2 linked regions of the Pelodiscus sinensis genome follow. The protein of the gene in region 1 purifies or fractionates together with the protein of each later gene. This does not show direct contact. Links are inferred from orthologs where the notes say so. Each region holds a gene or a part of one and is shown on either strand. Other genes may lie near its edges.

Region 1 (8,603 bases):
TTCCTCAGTAAATGCCAGTTATGTTACAGAATGCACATCAGGAAGGCATTAATCAGCTACTGCCTTTCCTAGTCCAGCCTGGGGCACAGCTGGACAAACTGAAAGGTAGAACATAACAAAGAAGCAGTAAAGTCAGCAAATTTTCCTATTGTTCGCTGGTGTTTACAAGAAAATACGCTAGGTTTGATTTCATTCAGTCTTTGTTCTAGCTAACCTGGGTACTTATGCATGGCTCTTATTACTGTAATGTGAGCATATTAGTTAGCCAGAGGGGCTAGGCAACATGCAGTGAGATTCCTTTACTTTGCAGAGAGAAAATACACCTGGGGCCACAGCTATGCGACAGGTGAACTGACTACATGTTTAAATTAGCAGGTTGAGTTAAAGACTTGGTCCCCCACAGCCTTTTGACAGTAGACCGTAGAGATGCCCCTTGTATTATTCTAAGAAGAAAATGATCAGTTGCTTCTGTCATGAGAAGATGAGAATTCTTATAGCAGGTGAACAAGCAGCAGAAAGGAAAATGTTCATGCACTAAAAACATTAGAATTGTCACAAGATATTAGTCTGTATGCAGTATGGGATAGCAGTAGCAACTGGAGATGAAGGACTTGTTCAGTGATACCCATTCTAGAAGATCTCACTTTTCCCTCATAGAGTGGCCCATATTATTATAGAAAAAATTTTCATGAGCAACTATACCTTTCATTCACAATGCTGCTGTTCACTATGCCTTGTCCTTTTAAAAGACAGTCAAACATGTTTATTTCTATTCTTCTCTTTCTCTTCCCTGAATTTGTTCTGGCACGTGGAGTGAATCACTTTTATTGCACTTTGATCCATTTGGCTATTGGCAACTTTATGTTCTTCACTATTCAGTGCCAAAGTCCATCTTATACAAGGGTTATAAGTGAAACAGGCCTGCATTTTTGTAGTCTAAGCACAAGAATAGCCCATGATCTACAGCAGATAATGTGGAACCAGAACACAAAGATTTTACTACCTCTGTTTTAAATAAGGTTATCATTTCAAGACTTAAGTCATTTGAAGGACAGCAAAAAACAGCTTGGAGCATGTTTATCTGACCCGCACTCCTTGTTGGTAGAGTACATATTCAGCATTCTTTGTTGCTGCTGTTTCTTTAACCTTCAGCAGCATCACTGTATTCCACTGTATCCCTCACACCCATCAGTCTGGAGTTATAAAACTTTCTATTTAGTAATTTGCCAATATTTATGGCATTTACACAGAAGATAACACTGTGGAAAAAAATCTTTTCCTAAGGGCTTATTATTTAAAAAAGGCATAGGTAGCATCAGTCTCTGGCAATTAAAGAAGTAGGGGCCTGATGTTCTGGAAGTGGGGTGCACCCATGTGAAACCAGTGAGATCTACAGGGGCTTTGAAAAAAAAAGTCAAACCCTGAGGGCATATTTTACTCATGGGTACAAAAAGTGAAGAAAAATGATACAATCAGTGCCTTTAGCAATTGTGCATCTGGTATATCAATGAACTGACAACGTACAACTTATTTTTACCATGCTGTAGGCACATTATGTAATTTATTCATTGCCCCTCCTCCCATGCTAAGAACAACCAAATACACAGACATTGGACCTGCATGACTAGGTAGACAAGACTTGACAATTCTGTGGGTCAAATTAGAAGTGATGATTCAATTTTGCTGCAGGAGAGGCAAGGAGGATAGAAAAACTATATGATGTCAATTAATGCTGGTATTTTACATGACTATTGTTTGAATTTAAGTTCACTTGATATTTGAGGAAGTGATCTAATGCATGCATACAATAGTCATGGAAATATGGCTGCCTCATCATCAATGTGCCCTACACAGTAAATGAAATCAGACTTCATTAATAAAGCTATTAGCAGGTGCAGTATCCTCTCCAGTCAGCCTTTCAAAATACACACAATGAAGTCTACTTATTACAAACTGCTTTATCAACATGAACAGAAAAGGAGATTCTTTGTAGCAGCACCCAGAGTCTGTACAGTATTTATAAGCAAATACATGTTTTGCTTTTATATAAGATATATAAAACATATATAAACATACCTAAAAAGAGAACATTATCATTATGTGTAAATGTTTGCAGAATCATAAACACTTCTATACAAACCTCAAAATTTTCTAAAAATTTTAAGTGTTAAAATATATCCTGAAAAGTTTTATTCTACAATATCTGTTCCAAATGTTTGTTTCAGTTTAACAGAGAATCTATTTTATCTTTGCTTATAATTTGATATTTGTGATTTGGCCAAGATACTGAATTTTGATTAGTAGATAACCTATTTATTCTCTTATATTAGCAAATGCCTGAATTAGACATTACAGCTATATAAGCAGAAAAAAATCTCTTTAAAATTATTAAATTACAGAAAACTCACATTATATTATTCTTCTTTTGAGCTTCACACCAATATTTTCACATGGAATATATAGATAGTTAAGTGCATATGCATCCTAAAACATTTAACATACTTTCAGCTAAGAAAGGAATTAAACTCCAATTATTATTATTATTATTATTATTATTGTTAATAAATAATAACAACCCACCCACAAATCTTGTATTATTAGATCTCTTGAAATAGCTGTATTTTAGGTTATTTCAAAGATTATTTATATCATATGTTACTGCACAACTAAAACTCAAGACCTGAAGACATTTCTATACCTAATTAAAATGGTATATACAGCACATGGAAAAGCCAATTTTTGCACTTGATAAAAAAAACAAAAAACAGTAAAGTTTGTTTTCAGAGAAACCCATATACTGAAGCATGTTAAAAATAATCCCTATCACAGATATCTAAACAAGGGTGTGTGTATGTATATATATTTTAATGTGCACACTTAACATTATCAAACAGTCAATTACATATAAAACTTTTCACCTCACAGATTCCTAGATAATACTGGACCTGTTTTGCTAATGGAAAGAAAAACAGGTTTGCTCCTGTATCAGGCATCCATCACTATGTCAAACTGGATATACTAGGACAACTAGAAAGATTACAGTCATTGCAACAAGTTTCTTTAAAAAAAATCTTATAGGAAGAGGAAACGAAGGAAATGTAGCAAAACTGATTAAGTTTTATCTGTACAAAACCAGTCAGGTCTGATCTTTTGCAAGCCTGCTTCCTGACACCCACCCAAACACATACTACACCCTTTAATCCCTAAAAGGAAAGAGCTGAGATGGCAGCTGCAGGGCCACTGGATGACCTGTTTAAGGTGTTCTGTAGTTTAGCCAGGCCACACTTTCAGCAACGTTTCCTTATTTGTTACAGGTAGCAGCACTACAGGAAGTGTCAACCGTATCGATGCAGTCGACAGGGGACATTTAACACCCTAATGAGTTTACTTATTTTTCCCCCTTGATCCTACTGACTTGTAGGCACGACAATTCAAGATCACAGATTGCCAAACCAGAGAGAAAATGCGTGAGCCAGGGACCGCAAGTCCCTCGAGCTTTGAAGAGCCCAGGCCTGGCCTGGCCAGCCGCGGAGACCTCACAAACACCCCTTTTCTCTGACAGAGCCAAGCACCAGCCAGGGGATACAAGCCCTCTACGTACTGACTTCCTGTAACAAAATACACCCCTCGCTGCCGTGTTCCTTGACGTGAACAGGCTCTAGCCCCTCGCTCTACAGCACAGACCCGTCTCCACCTTCAGTGAGTGCTCCAGTGTGTTTGCTAGTCGCTGCTGCCTGGTTACCTACCCAGCGGCTTCCCCAAGCTGGAAACGAATTAGCGCGGGGAAACCAGATCAGAGAACAGCGTCCACCCAGCCCCCCGCTCGCCGATCTACAGATGCTGCTCTAAACCCGCATCCCTCACCGGCCAGCTGCGTGCTCCGCCCTATCCCCGCGGCTCCCCCGCTAGGCTAGCATCACGCTGACCACCCACTGCCCCCGCACCCATGCCCCCAGCTGGGCAAGGTGGATGCGCTTCTCTCGACGCCGCCGCACACCTACCCCCTCCCCAAGTGCCCTTGCCGCGATCCCCTCCTTGCCTGAGTCTTGTCAAATTGCTCCCGCTCCGCCTCCAGGCTGTGCCCGGTCCGGCGGCTCAGCACCCGGGCCGGCACGTTCTTGATGGTGTTCATGCTACCGCTGGGGAGGGAGCCCGCTGGGCGGCCGGGGGAAGCAGCGATCGCTCGGGGGGAACGTTCGGCTCCCGCAGCCTGACGTTCTGGTGAGAGCCCCGGCAGGGTGCACAAGGGCGCCCCTAGCGGGCGGGCTGGGCTACTACTGTGGCTGGCTGCATCCACTCACAGGCGAGAGATTCTTCTCCTCCCAGCTCCCAGGCAGCCATTCACAGCCAGCAGCTGCTGCCATACCCTCTCGCTCCGCCCAGGCAGCATCCTTTCCTTTGCCCAAGCAGCGGCAGCTCCCAAGCAAATTACTACTGTACCTCCTTCTCCGTTCTCCCCTCCCCCGGCCCTAGGATTGCAGTCGGGGTATGAAAAAAAGCACCCATCTGTACTCAAGAGCCTGAAATGACACCAACAGAAAAAGGCTGAGGGGAAGCAATGCCTGCTCACAAGCTAGGATTGTTCTTATTTAATTACTCTTCTTCCCAAGTAGGATAGTACACAGTTCATAGCAAGAGACTGCAATCAATTACGCCCTTGGAGTGAATTATGCAACCAGGAACAAATCTTGATCTAATTTAAATCAATCCACTCCTCCTCGACTTCAGATTTGGGTCAGGAAGGTTTCTAAAAATTAAGCACTCCACCTTCAGTTGCATTCACATCAAGTTGTTATGAAAACACAAGTTTGGTACTCCCACCCTTCCTTAGTCCATTTAGCCTGCTTATAGTAAAGCTAGTTTTGTCTCTATTTGTGTAACTCAAAAATAGCCAAAGTGATTTTATAAATACAATAGAATCCTCTTGCTTCCAGCATACTGAAGGACAGCTTACACTGATTACATTAAGAGATCATTTGCAGTCTGATGACTTTGACAAAAAGCTGAAATGAATGAAAGTGTACATGGTTCAACTATTAACACTTGCACACAGAAACCTGTCTACTAATAAGCAGTACCTGAATCAATCCTGAACAGTTAATTGCAAATGCAGACAAAGCAAACCCTAGTCAGATGCAGATGTGGGCCACACTGAAGAAAGCTTAAGACAACATTGCTGTGTGATTTTAAACTTACCAAATTTTGCTACTTTTGTGCTTGGCCCGTTTCTATACAAATTTATTAGCGCACTTTAGAGAGCATAGTAATTTATTATAGAACCTGTGCTTTGGTAAAAGCCAAAACATATTTGCAGGCATACCTGTATAGATGTCATACTTTAGCAGAAAGTATGAAAGCACTCAGTTAAACTTAAATATTGCTGCACTATTCCTGGGGATGTCATTTAAGATTTGTGTTTATATGGATCTATATACAGTATACTGAATATATACTATTGTAGCATGTAGAGCATGCAATCAGTGATCAAAGTCCATTGTGATAGGCATTGTACAAACATGTCATAAAAGAGAGTTTCTATGCTAAAGAGTTTGGTTAAAATAAAGATTTAATAGATATGAGAGGCAAACAAAAGGGTAATAGTGGGGGATTGGGAGAATGAGGTAGCAATAATACAAACACATTTTCATGTGGACTAGATGTGCCTGAATATAGTTCACCATTTGTCTTACTAATTACTAGCATTTCATAGGCAGCGCAAGTGATGTTAAATAGAGATTTTTCTTCTCATTCTTTTGTTTCAATAAAAGTTCTTCATTATCTCTATGAGACATTGTCCCCCCAACAGACTAGTTAATTTAAGCTCTAAGTGAGCTATAATTTAAAAAAAGCTGAATAAATTAATTATGCCATTATAACAGAGTTTATAAAACATAAAAAAGTATTTTAATTGGAATACTTTACATATTCTCATAAAAGAAGTCACCAAAACTGTATTAATACAGAAAAAATATTTGAAATCATGAGCTATTATGATTAGTTTAAGAGAAGTTATGTGTCATAAGACACTTGAATATATAATACATTTAAATATCAGTGTTCTTTAGGAGTTGAGATACTTTATCTTTAGGCATTTGCCCTAATAAGCAAGGGTTTTGGTTTATCAGTTAAAGGAAAGGAAAATATTTGAGAGAGTTAAGTTAATTTTTTCTATCTCTACTGTGTAATTGTTAACTCTCCCTAGTTTTTTTTTTATTTGATGAAGATTTCTTGAATCAAGGACTATTTTGTTTTGTTTTATAGTAAGCTTGTTTGTCTATACAAGCTACATTTTCCATTAATGTACAAATTAATTTTAAAAGCTGTTATTTTCTGTTTGTTAGACTTCTAATTAGAAAGACCAAATGGTTTGTTACACCATAGATGAAAGCAGTTAAAGTTTAATTTCTGTTAATAGAATAACATACATTATCAAATAGAAAATGTCTCTATTTGTAATGTTTTAAAAAATAAGTCCCCATTTTTAGGAAGCTGATTTAGTTTGAGACCCCATGTAAAGCCTCAGATTGCAGTCTGTTTTGCAGGTTTGTTAATATATGAATAAATTCACCTTAGTATTCCACCTGTCTTCCAGTTTAAGAGTAGTAAACTTCCATCTCATGCCCAGAATAAACTACATACTCAGAGTAAGATTTAGTGGTGTGTGAGTGCTCCAGACTAGGGATGTTAAATATCGGTTAACTGAATAGTCAAGTAACTTCATTAATTCTTATTGGTTAGTCGGCTAGTCAATAGCCCCCATGGGTGGAGCCTGCAGCAGCACAGGGTGTAAGGTGGAAGCTAGTCTGCGAGGGGAGGCAGTTTAAAAAACAGATCCTCTTGCTGCTTGTCACCCTGTGCTGCTGCCGCTGATAAAGAGACAATAGCGCGAGGTGGCAGCAGCCCGTCAGAGGCGGAGGTCTGAGCTCCCAGACCCAGCATGAACCAGAACTGAGTCAAGCTGCCTGCCCGCTGTCTCCTAATACACTTTAAATGCAGAGCCACAGCAGGGGTAGGTCCCGGAGCCAGTTTGAGCCAGGCTGCTGGCCAGCCTGCTAAAAAATTTACTGGTAGAGGGAGGTGGGGTGGAGAGGAATGGGGTAGTCTACAGAATTAACCTATAAGCTTTTGCTAATTGGTTAATTGACTGCACTGTTACATCACTACTCCAGACATGAATTCAAACAAATACAGCAACACTATAAAAGCATCCATACTATTACCATGATATTACTCTTAGCGCCTGCCTACACAACATTTTTGTATCACTTTAACTAATCAGTTTTATGATTTATTGCTTCATGGTCATGTTGGAAGGGCATAACCAGTAGGATCCCACAGAGGTCTGTTTTGGGACCAGTTCTGTTCAATATCTTCATCAATGATTTAGATGACGGCATACAGAGTACACTTACTATGTTTGCAAATACCACCAACCTGGGAGGGGTTGCAAGTGCTTTGGAGGATAGTGTCAAAATTCAAAATGATCTGGACAAACTAGAAAAATGATTTGAAGTAAACAGGATGAAGTTTAGCAAGGACCAATGCAAAGTACTCCACTTAAGAAGGAACAATCAGTTTCACACATACAAATGGGAAATGACTGAATGGGGAGTACTGCAGAAAGGTATCTAGGGATCATAGTTAAACACGAGTCAACAGTATGACACTGTTGAAAAAAAAAGAAGCAAACATGACTCTGGGATGAATTAACAGGAGTGTTGCGAGCAAGACATGAAAAGTCATTCTTCCACTCTACTCTGCACTGAACAGGCCTCAACTGAAGCACTGTGTCCAGTTCTGGGCACCACATTTCAAGAAAGATGTGGAGAAATTGGAGAAGATCCAGAGAAGAGCAACAAGAATGATTAAAGGTCTAAAAAACATAACCTATGAGGGAAGACTGAAAGAATTGGGTTTGTTTAGTTTAGAAAAGAGAAGACTGAGAGGAGATATGATAGCGGTTTTCAAATATCTCAAAGAGTGTTACAAGGAGAAGGGAGAAAAAATGTTCTCCTTGGCCTCTGATGATGGGACAAGAAGCAATGGACTTAAACCACAGCAAGGAAAGTTTAGGTTAGAGATTAGTAAAAACTTTCTGTCAGAGTGGTTAAACACTGGAATAAATTAGGAGTAGGTTGGACAGACATCTATCAGGAATGATCTAGACAGTGCTTGGTGCTGCCATGAGGCAGAGACTGGACTCCATGATGTCTTGAGGTCCCTTCCAGTTCTATGATTCTATGTACTGATTTAATTTAAAAAAATAGTAGAACTCTTCTTGTATGAACACATATATATGCATCCACAATGGGTGGCTGCATTGATTTGATTTAAATAGTTCTTTTTAAATGTACCAATTTAGTTAAATAGGTGCAAAGATTTAGGATAGACCTGACTATAGTGCTAACATCATGATCTTATCACGTATGCTTTTTGTTCTGATGATGGGACAAGAAGCAATAGACTTAGCTGGAGGAAAGGAGGTTAGGTTGGACTTTAGGAAAGACTTCTTAACTGTCAGAATAATCCCTGAGAATATTAACTGCAGTGCTCATTAGCAGGTAGATTTTTTGAATGAGAGCTGTTTTTTAAATTATTGTGAA
Region 2 (8,603 bases), on another chromosome or scaffold:
GAATTGAGCTACGTCAATTGCTTTGAAATAGGGAGCGTCTATACAGGACTTATATATCGAAATAGAGCACTCTTCCTCCAACTTCCCTTATTCCTCGCATAATGAGGGTTACAGAAGTCGGAGTAAGAAGTCCTCCAGTTCAACAATATTTTGACACTATTTTGAAATAATTGCCTGCTGTGCAGACACAGACAAATTTATTTTGGAATAGCGCTAGTTATTTTGAAATAGTGTTGCACTGTAGATGTACCCTAAGAGTGCCCTACCCAGAGCTGATGGGTCTGCTCTGGTTGCTTGTGTATCTTGAGAAGTATGTAGAATTCCCATGGAGTGAGTTCCTTGAGGTCTGGGGATGATATCATAGAGTGTCTCTTGAAGATGTGGGGAGAAGCAGAGGAGGCAAATTCTTTTTAAGAGTTTCCTGCTACCTACCCCTATAGCCTTAGTCTTGCTTGTTTTTGCCAGCTTTCTTTCATCCTGGTGCAGATCTCATTTGTGAGAGACATTAGAGCTGGGAGCCTCACCTAAATGCTGCTTCTGCACCCATGGGCGGCGAGTTATATGGGCTCGTGGTGCCCGTGCTCCACCAATATTCAGAGCTGGGGGCCCTGCTTCAGCAATATTTGGAGCCAATATTTGGAACCGTGGGCCAGCCCTGCCCCCGCACTCTTGCAGCACATGCTCATGCCACACACTAGGTATTTTAAATGCTGGCAGCTCGGCAGGCAAGGGAGAGGGAGTCTACCCGGGGCCTGGGCGGTGAGCTTGGGGAAGCTCCCACACTCCTGCAACAGCCGGAACCCAGCAGGCAACCCCGCAGGGTGGACGCTCAGACTCTGCAGCCCCAGAATGAATGGCCAGTGGATGCCAGAGCGGCCTATACCCCTTCGACGGACAGAGGGGTGTCAGGGCCTGATCACAGACTCCAGCCCCGCAAACTGGAAGGCAGAAGGTAGGGGAGGGGGAAAAATAGGGGGAAGGAGTAGGAGGCAGGTCAGGAGAAGAAAGGGGCAGGCATCAAGGGTCTGCGTGGAAGAGAGACAAATGTGTGGGGGGGAGTGAATGAGGAAAAGGGCAGGAGGGGAGGTGTCAGGGTGATGATGGGAGAGGAGAGGGTAAGAGCACTGGGGATTAGAGGGGGGAGGGTGCAGTGCTGGGAGAAGGCTTGAAAGAAGGGGTGGGCATGAGAAAGGTGTGGCTGGAGCAAGTCATGTGTGAGGGCACAGAGGGACGAGAGGGGAATAGGGGCAGAGGGTGGTGAGGGGAGGGGCATCAGGGGAAAAGGGGGCAGGGGCAGTGAGGGAAGGGGGAGGCACCAGAGGGTGCAGGGCTAAGGGAAGGTGCAGGTGCCAGGGGATTCTGGTGGTGAAGCAGAAGGGCAGACACCTGCAGGGGAGGGACCAGCACTAGAGAGAGGCAGGGGAGGTTTGTAGAAGGAGGTGTTAGAAGAGGGGATGAGAAGGTGTAGCTCACATGATCAGAGTGGGACTACTGGAGGAGTGGACACAAGGGGAAGAGAAGGGCTGGTGGAGGGGGACAGGCTGCAGGAGGGCTGAGGGCAGTGAGAAAGGCAGGAGTCAGGACAGCAGAGGAGGGTGAGGAGTTGGGGGGGGGCGGCAGCAGGCACCAGGGGAGCTGATGGAACAAGGGGAGGAGACATGGCAGCAGAAAGAAAAGGTAAAGGTTTCAAAATATTTATAAATAACTTGGGTGCCACAATGGCACACCCAAACAAGCAACATGAACACAGGAATGGTGCACAACACAAAATTCATTCTGCTCATGGGAGGAAACTCTTAGGCTATGTCTACACTGGCAGTTTCTTGTGCAAGAACATCTTGCACAACAAATCTTGTGCAAGAAGTCTTGCGCAAGAACATGTCCACACTGCCATGTGCGAGCTGTGCTTTTTACACAAGAGCATCCATGGCAGTGTGGATGCTCTCTTGCCCAAGAAAGCTCTCCACACTGCTTTCTTGCACAAGAGAGCTTACACCTGTTAGGAAAGAGCATAGCTCCTGTGCAAGATGCCCTCTCTTACCACGCCGTACTGTAAATTTCCTTGTGCAAGAGCAGGTGGGCAGTGTGGATGCTCTCTGGGTTCTTGCACAAGAACAGCTGTACTTGCACAAGAAGCTGCAAGTGTAGACATAGCCTTAGAGGAAACACTTCCCCCAGCCTCTCTGCCCCGGAGTTAATGTCACACACATTGGGTTAATGCAACTGCAGAATAGCTGCATGGGGGGGGGGGGGGGTTTAGTGGGGCCAAACTATTCACTGTTGGTAGGTGGATGGTGGGAAAAGTCCTTCTAGAGGGGTGACATGACACCTTTTACTTCTGGTCAGGTGTCCATCTTGCCCGGAGTGTGTTACCTCCAGAGGCGTGGCTGGTGGGGTGGGGCGTGGCTAATGGGGCACCACCAAAAATTGTACAAAGCTGCTGCCCATGGCTGCACCATTGTGCGTTTACAATCAACTCCCTCCTGTCGCTTCTTCTGGGAAGTTAGGAAGGGCATTTAGGGCACGCTGCAGATAGAGCCAGTGCGCTGAATTCAGACAAGCACCGCTGCCCAGAGGCTGGCAGGTGCCCAGCAGCGCAGCAAGGGCAGGCCCTGGCTCACTCACACTTGCAGACAGGGATCGCGCTGACACCCCACTTCGGCAAACGAAAGTACCCCAACACCCAGGGGCCTGTCCCCGGCCCAGCCAATCAGCAGCAGAGCTAGAGACTGAACCCAGGAGTTCTGCGTGCCGGCGCCAGCTAACCCCTTAGGAGCCAGGACGCGTAACCTGGCGCCGACCCCACCCCACCCGGGACCTTGTACAGCGGCTCCCCCTTATTACGCCGGGACTGGGGGAGCATCACGTGATGTGGGCGGGGCAGGAGGAGGAGCAGCGAGAGCTATATGATCCGCGCGGGCGGGGCCCGGCTTTGTGAAAAGAGGGAGGGGGGGGGCAGTCACGTGATTTCGGCGGCCCGGAGTGATCCGAGAGGCGCTGCGTGGCCGCCATTTTCCTGCGGCGCCCAGTGTGCGTGTGTCCCCCGACCCCGGCAGAGCGGAAGGAGCGAGGGGCGGGGGCGGGGGCTGGGGCCGAGGGCAGGAGGAGGGGGCCCTGCCCGGCTGACAGGGCCGTCCCCGGGGGCGGAGCCCCGCGCAGCTGCCCGCCGCGGGGCAGAGCGACTTGTCCGAGCGGGTCCGTTCCCCTGTCCCGTCCCAGCCCGGCGCCGCGCGGCCCCGCAGCACCATGTCCGGCCAGAGCCTCACCGACCGCATCACGGCGGCGCAGCACAGCGTGACCGGCTCCGCCGTCTCCAAGACCGTCTGCAAAGCCACCACCCACGAGGTGATGGGGCCCAAGAAGAAGCACCTGGACTGTGAGTGCGGGGTGGCGGCGGGCGGGGGGAGGTCCCCTCCGTGGGGTCGTGAGTAGGGGGCAGGCGAGCTGTTTCCCAGGGCTGCCGGGGGACAGTGAGTACAAGGCGGCCCCACCAGGGACCGTGGGGACAGGGAGCAGGAGAGCTTTCCCCTGGGGGCTGGCGGGGAAGAGAGGCGTTCCCTGGGGGCTGAGTACTGTCGGGAAGGGGGTAGGAGAGGTTCTGCCATGGGGAGAGGGAGGGGAGGCAGGAGATACCACAATCCTCAGGACTCCCGTGGGGGGAATAGGAGGGCATAGGAAAGGCTCCCCCAGGGGCCTTGGAGTTTGAGAGTAGAAGTGGGTCAGAGGAGATTCCTCCCCAGGGGTCATGGGGAGCTTGAGAGGGGCAGGAAAGATGTTCCCTGCTTGGGACCTGTGAGGACTGTGAATAATATGGGGAGGAAGGGGAATGTTTTCTCTCTAGGTGGTGTGGGAACACAAAGTATCAGGGGAGGGGGGAGAGTGATTCCTGCCCTGCCAGGGCCACCTCATCTGAAGAAGAAGGTTTTGCCCATGAAAGCTCATGATATCATCTACACATTTTGTTAATCTTTAAGGTGCTACTAGTCTATTTATTGTTTTTTAACTTTTTCATTCTCTTGAGGCACCTTTTCCCATAGATTCATAGGCCTGAGTGTACTGAGACTGGGCTTGCTTCAAGGGATTCTTCCCCTGACACCTTGAGGCTGTAAATATTTGGCAGACTTTCCTTCAGTCCTGCAGGGACTTCCTCCTCTCCCCCATTGCTCAGGACATGTGAATGATGAGTATCTGTGGCTGTCCTCCTAGGAACCATATACCCCATGTTTCTTGGGATTGTGGCAACTGATAGTATCTGGGAGGCTCCCCCATGATTCTTCTGCAAGTGCTTTGTCAGCTGGGGTGTCATGCTGTCTGTTTTCCCCCTCTGTTTAGAGTAGGGATGTTAAACATTGTTTAATTGAATAGTCAAATAACCTTATGCATTCTTATTGATCAGTCGACTATTTTGTCATCCCTGGGGGCAGAGCCGGCAGCCAGTGCACTCTGGCCTCACTCCCAAGAAGACCCTTGCCACTCTGCACTGCTGCCACTGTATCAGAGACAGCAGCGCGAGGTCTCTGATGGGAGCTGGCCCACATGGGGAGCCAGTTTAAAAACCAGCTCCTCTTATGGACTGCGGCTTGTTGCCCTGTGCTGCTGCCTATGATAAAGAGGCAGTGGCGTGGGGTGGCCTGAGCTCCCGGACCCAGCGTGAGCTAGAACTGAGCTGGGCTGCCTGCCTGCCTGGCTCCTAATATGCTTTAAATGCAGAGCTGCAGCAAGGGGTAGGTCCCGGACCTGTCACAAGCCAGGACTGAGCCTGGTTGCTGGGCAGCCTGCTAAAAGATTTAGTGGCAAGTGTGTGGGTGGGAAAATGTGTAGTCTATAACATTAACCTATAAGCTTTTGCTTATTGGTTAATAGACTACACTTTTACATTACTAGTTAAGACCTCATGCTGATGGTTACTGAGAGGGTAAGGATGTCTATGGCTCTGTCCTCCACTCTCTTCCACCCTAGGGCTACGGGGACTTTGAGAACCTGTGGGGTTGTGTCCTCCAAGATGACAGTAAAATGGTTCTTCATAGCCCCTTTTCACACAAGCAGAATATGAGTTGTGGCCTATAAATGTGTTAGTAGCTGAGAGATCAGCTCCTATCTACTGGAAATCTCAAAGGGGTAGTTGTGTTAGTCTGTAACTAAAGAAACTTAAACAATGAAAGGTCCTGCAGCACCTTAGAGGCTAACAGAAATATAGATAATATTAATATAGAAATATAGCTTTTGTGAGCCCAACCCACTTACTCATATTTGTCATCTGAAGAAATGGGTTGTGCCCACGAAAACTCATATTATTTTTTGTTAGTCTCTAAGGTGCTGCAGGACCATGCATTGTTTTTTATCTACTGGAAGGACGTTCTGTCCCCAACTTTCCTCTCAGGATATTTGGAGCCAAGAAAAAGCAAATAGTCTGAATGTACAAGGGAGTTTCCTTACCTACACAGCTTGTTGGAAGGGCCCATTTCCTCTATCACTCTTGCAGTACATTCCCTAAATCCCACCCAATAAAGGGGTCATATGTATTGAGTGCCTGAGAAGTGGATTCTTCTCTCCCAAAAGTTCCTCCTCCTTCTCTCCCTGCCTCTACTTTCCCATGAGGCCATGGTGACTAAGAAAACTCATCTATATTGTGAATACCTAGGGGAGTGGAGTAGAGCGCAGTGGACTGGGGCACTGTTACTTCCCGCTGGCACAGTGAATTAGAGCGAAGTGGCACAAGCTGCTACATGTAGTGTTCTGCTTTCCGGGTTCCCACCGCTGCAGTGAGTGCAAAGGAGTGGGGGATGCTAGCTCCTCAGATCATACCCCAGGCCACCCTAGTAATGTAAAAGTGTAGTCTATTAACCAATATGGGGGATTGTCCTGTCCGTAGAACAGTTGGGACAGCATGGGGCTTCGAGTGGCTGCCCTGAATCATCCTATGGATGAGACAGCTCTGGCCAACAGCATCCATTCCTGAAATCACCCCCTGGTTATTCAGTGGAAGTACAGCATGCATACTAGGGACATCTCTCACTTCTTGCTCCCGCCCTTGCTGCCTCTGTATCAGAGGCAGCAATATCTATATCAGAGCAAGGGGCGGGGGAAGCAGGAGCCAGTGCTGGGGGGAGCTGGCTTAAAAGCCTTCCCCACACTACCATCTTTGGGGGGGGGGAGGGGAGGGCAAGCCTTTTAAATGTATTAAGAGCTGCCTGGCTCTTACTACATTCAAAATGCAGGACAATGTAGCACTTTAAAGACTAACAAGATGGTTTATTAGATGATGAGCTTTCGTGGGCCAGACCCACTTCCTCAGATCAAATAGTGGAAGAAAGTAGTCACAACCATATATACCAAAGGATACAATTTAAAAAAATGAACAAATATGAAAAGGACAAATCACATTGCAGAACAGAAGGGGGATGCGGGGGGGTGGGAAGGGGGAGGAAGGAAGGTAAGTGTCTGTGAATTGCTGATATTAAAGGTAGGGAGAGTGGGATGTTTGTGAGTTAATGGTATTACAGGTGATAATTGGGGAAACTGTCTTGGTAATGGGTGAGAAAGTTCAAAGACTTGTTAAGTCCTCGTTGGTAAGTGTCGAATTTTAACATGAATGACAGTTCAGAGGATCACTATTCTACATTCAAAAGGAAGAGGTGCAGCGAGGTGTCCCTCTCCCATTGTCTAATTGAGTAGTCGATGGAAATTCCATTGACTACTCGACTAGCTGATTACAGGTGGCCCCCAACTTGCAATGCGATTGGTTCCTGGGGAAGCGTCGCAAGTCAGGGGCATCATAACTTGAACTGCATTTACGATAGGTGCTGTGTACCATCATAAATGTGGGCCGAGGACATAAGTTGGGGGGTTTGGGCCCCTTCTGCACTTACAAAATGGTCGTAAGTGCAGGGGATCACAACTTAGGCTGTCGTAAGGCGCGGGTTTTCTGTATTCTCAATTTAGCATCCTTAGTGCAAACTTTGAATAGCTCAGCCCTCTCCCTTCACCTCAATTCATAAAAGCGTAGGCCCACAAGAGATACACCAAGAATGATAGGTATGTCCCTAATAAGTCCTCTCCTTCCTACCATATACTTGTGATACTGTATAGCCATTTGTGGAGGGAGCATTCTTCTTCCAAAGCTGTAATATTAACTGAATTTGATAGACTAAGCAGTTCATTGTAACTTCATACTAGGCATCTCAGTTCAGATCCTCGATAGTGCAATAACACACATAATAAAATCTTGTGCGCTCCATACAAACAAAGACAATATAAATGTGGGATATATTACATTTTAAGTATAGTGGGGGAGAGAAGAAATATTTTCTCCATTATAAAGATGAAGATCTGAGGTACAGAGATGAAGTGGCTTGCTCAGGGTCCTATGGGAAGTCCGTGGAAGAGCTGGAAATAGTATCTATTTCATGAGTTCTAGTCCACTGCCATAAATATAACACCAACCTTTCTGAAATAGAGCAGCAAAGAAATTGGTCAGTTTTAATGCGTCAGTAACTGGTTTGTTGTTTTGTTCTGACAGATTATTTTTGGTGATGGTAAAGTACTTTACCAGCTTCATTTTTCAGTGTAGTTCATTCAAAGATTTCTGAAGATGAATTGTTATTATAGTTGATTATTATGCAAGTCTAGGTAATTTGCATTGTTGACTTTTTTGAGCTACTCTTCGATCTTTTCTGGATTCTTATATGATGCTAGCTTTGTATCACTCTTTCTAGATTTTTTTGTGGACTTTTTCAGGGTCATCAAGTCTTGCCTTCATCACAGTACAAGAACTGGCTTTCTTGCTCAAATCACCAATGGGTTATTTGGTTCTGCAGCTGTTGTCTTTATCTTGTATCAGTTCTCAGCTTCTTTTGATTTTGTGCATCTTACTTCATCTGTAGAACACAGCTGTGTTTATGCCAGGTGCCTTCAGACTTCTGATGTCTCCTTCACTGACCTTTGTCTTTGAGCTACAACATGGTCTAACTTTTAGTAGGGTCATCATCAACTTTAATATATTGTGCTGTTCAAGCAAAGCTGCTAAGGAAAGGTTTCCCACATTCCTTTGCAGCTTAGACTACATGCCTAAGTCCATCGGTAGCTCCTGATTGAGAACTGTTTCTTGTATGTTAATTTATATGATAAGTAAAAGTTTAGATTTAATGAGCTTGTTTTGAATCAATTTTATATTTGGAGCACTAGGTAACTGTACTTTCTATGACACATTACAAAAGGTATGCTCTTTCCCATCTGAAATGTTGCATTTTATAAAAACTCCATGTTGGAGCTCATCAGTGACAGATACTACCAAATTATATTAGTAAAATGTTGGAGAGTTCATAGGTGCATTCCGTTACTAAAAAACTTGAGAATTTAGTCTACCCACAAATGGTATGCTTTTTCTAAAGCACACACGGAGATAGTATTTGAATGCTTAGTATTTCTTTAAAAGTTTGATCTTTTATCAGCAGTTGGTCAATTTATGCATAAATCATAACAAAAGTTAGACTAACCTGTCCCAATGTAGTCCTCTTAAATTTGTTTAAATTGTGCAGGTACTCTGTATATGTGTACTAGCTCTAGTACAGTGTGCTTGTTAGGAATCTTGGAAGTCCCCTAGT

The links.
Region 2: the proteins of HIP1R (region 1) and PICALM fractionate together in Homo sapiens (co-fractionation; 3 studies listed by BioGRID and IntAct, with this or other methods). This does not show direct contact. The link is inferred for Pelodiscus sinensis from reciprocal best matches to the Homo sapiens genes HIP1R and PICALM.

Annotation. Positions count from the first base shown.
Region 1 is NC_134725.1:32,137,678-32,146,280, forward strand, and holds the start of HIP1R (huntingtin-interacting protein 1-related protein), read right to left. Parts: upstream 4,283-8,603; 5' UTR 4,133-4,282; coding exon 4,040-4,132; intron 1-4,039. UniProt on the Homo sapiens protein: Component of clathrin-coated pits and vesicles, that may link the endocytic machinery to the actin cytoskeleton. Binds 3-phosphoinositides (via ENTH domain).
Region 2 is NC_134711.1:310,718,470-310,727,072, forward strand, and holds the start of PICALM (phosphatidylinositol-binding clathrin assembly protein), read left to right. Parts: upstream 1-2,933; 5' UTR 2,934-3,246; coding exon 3,247-3,376; intron 3,377-8,603. UniProt on the Homo sapiens protein: Cytoplasmic adapter protein that plays a critical role in clathrin-mediated endocytosis which is important in processes such as internalization of cell receptors, synaptic transmission or removal of apoptotic cells.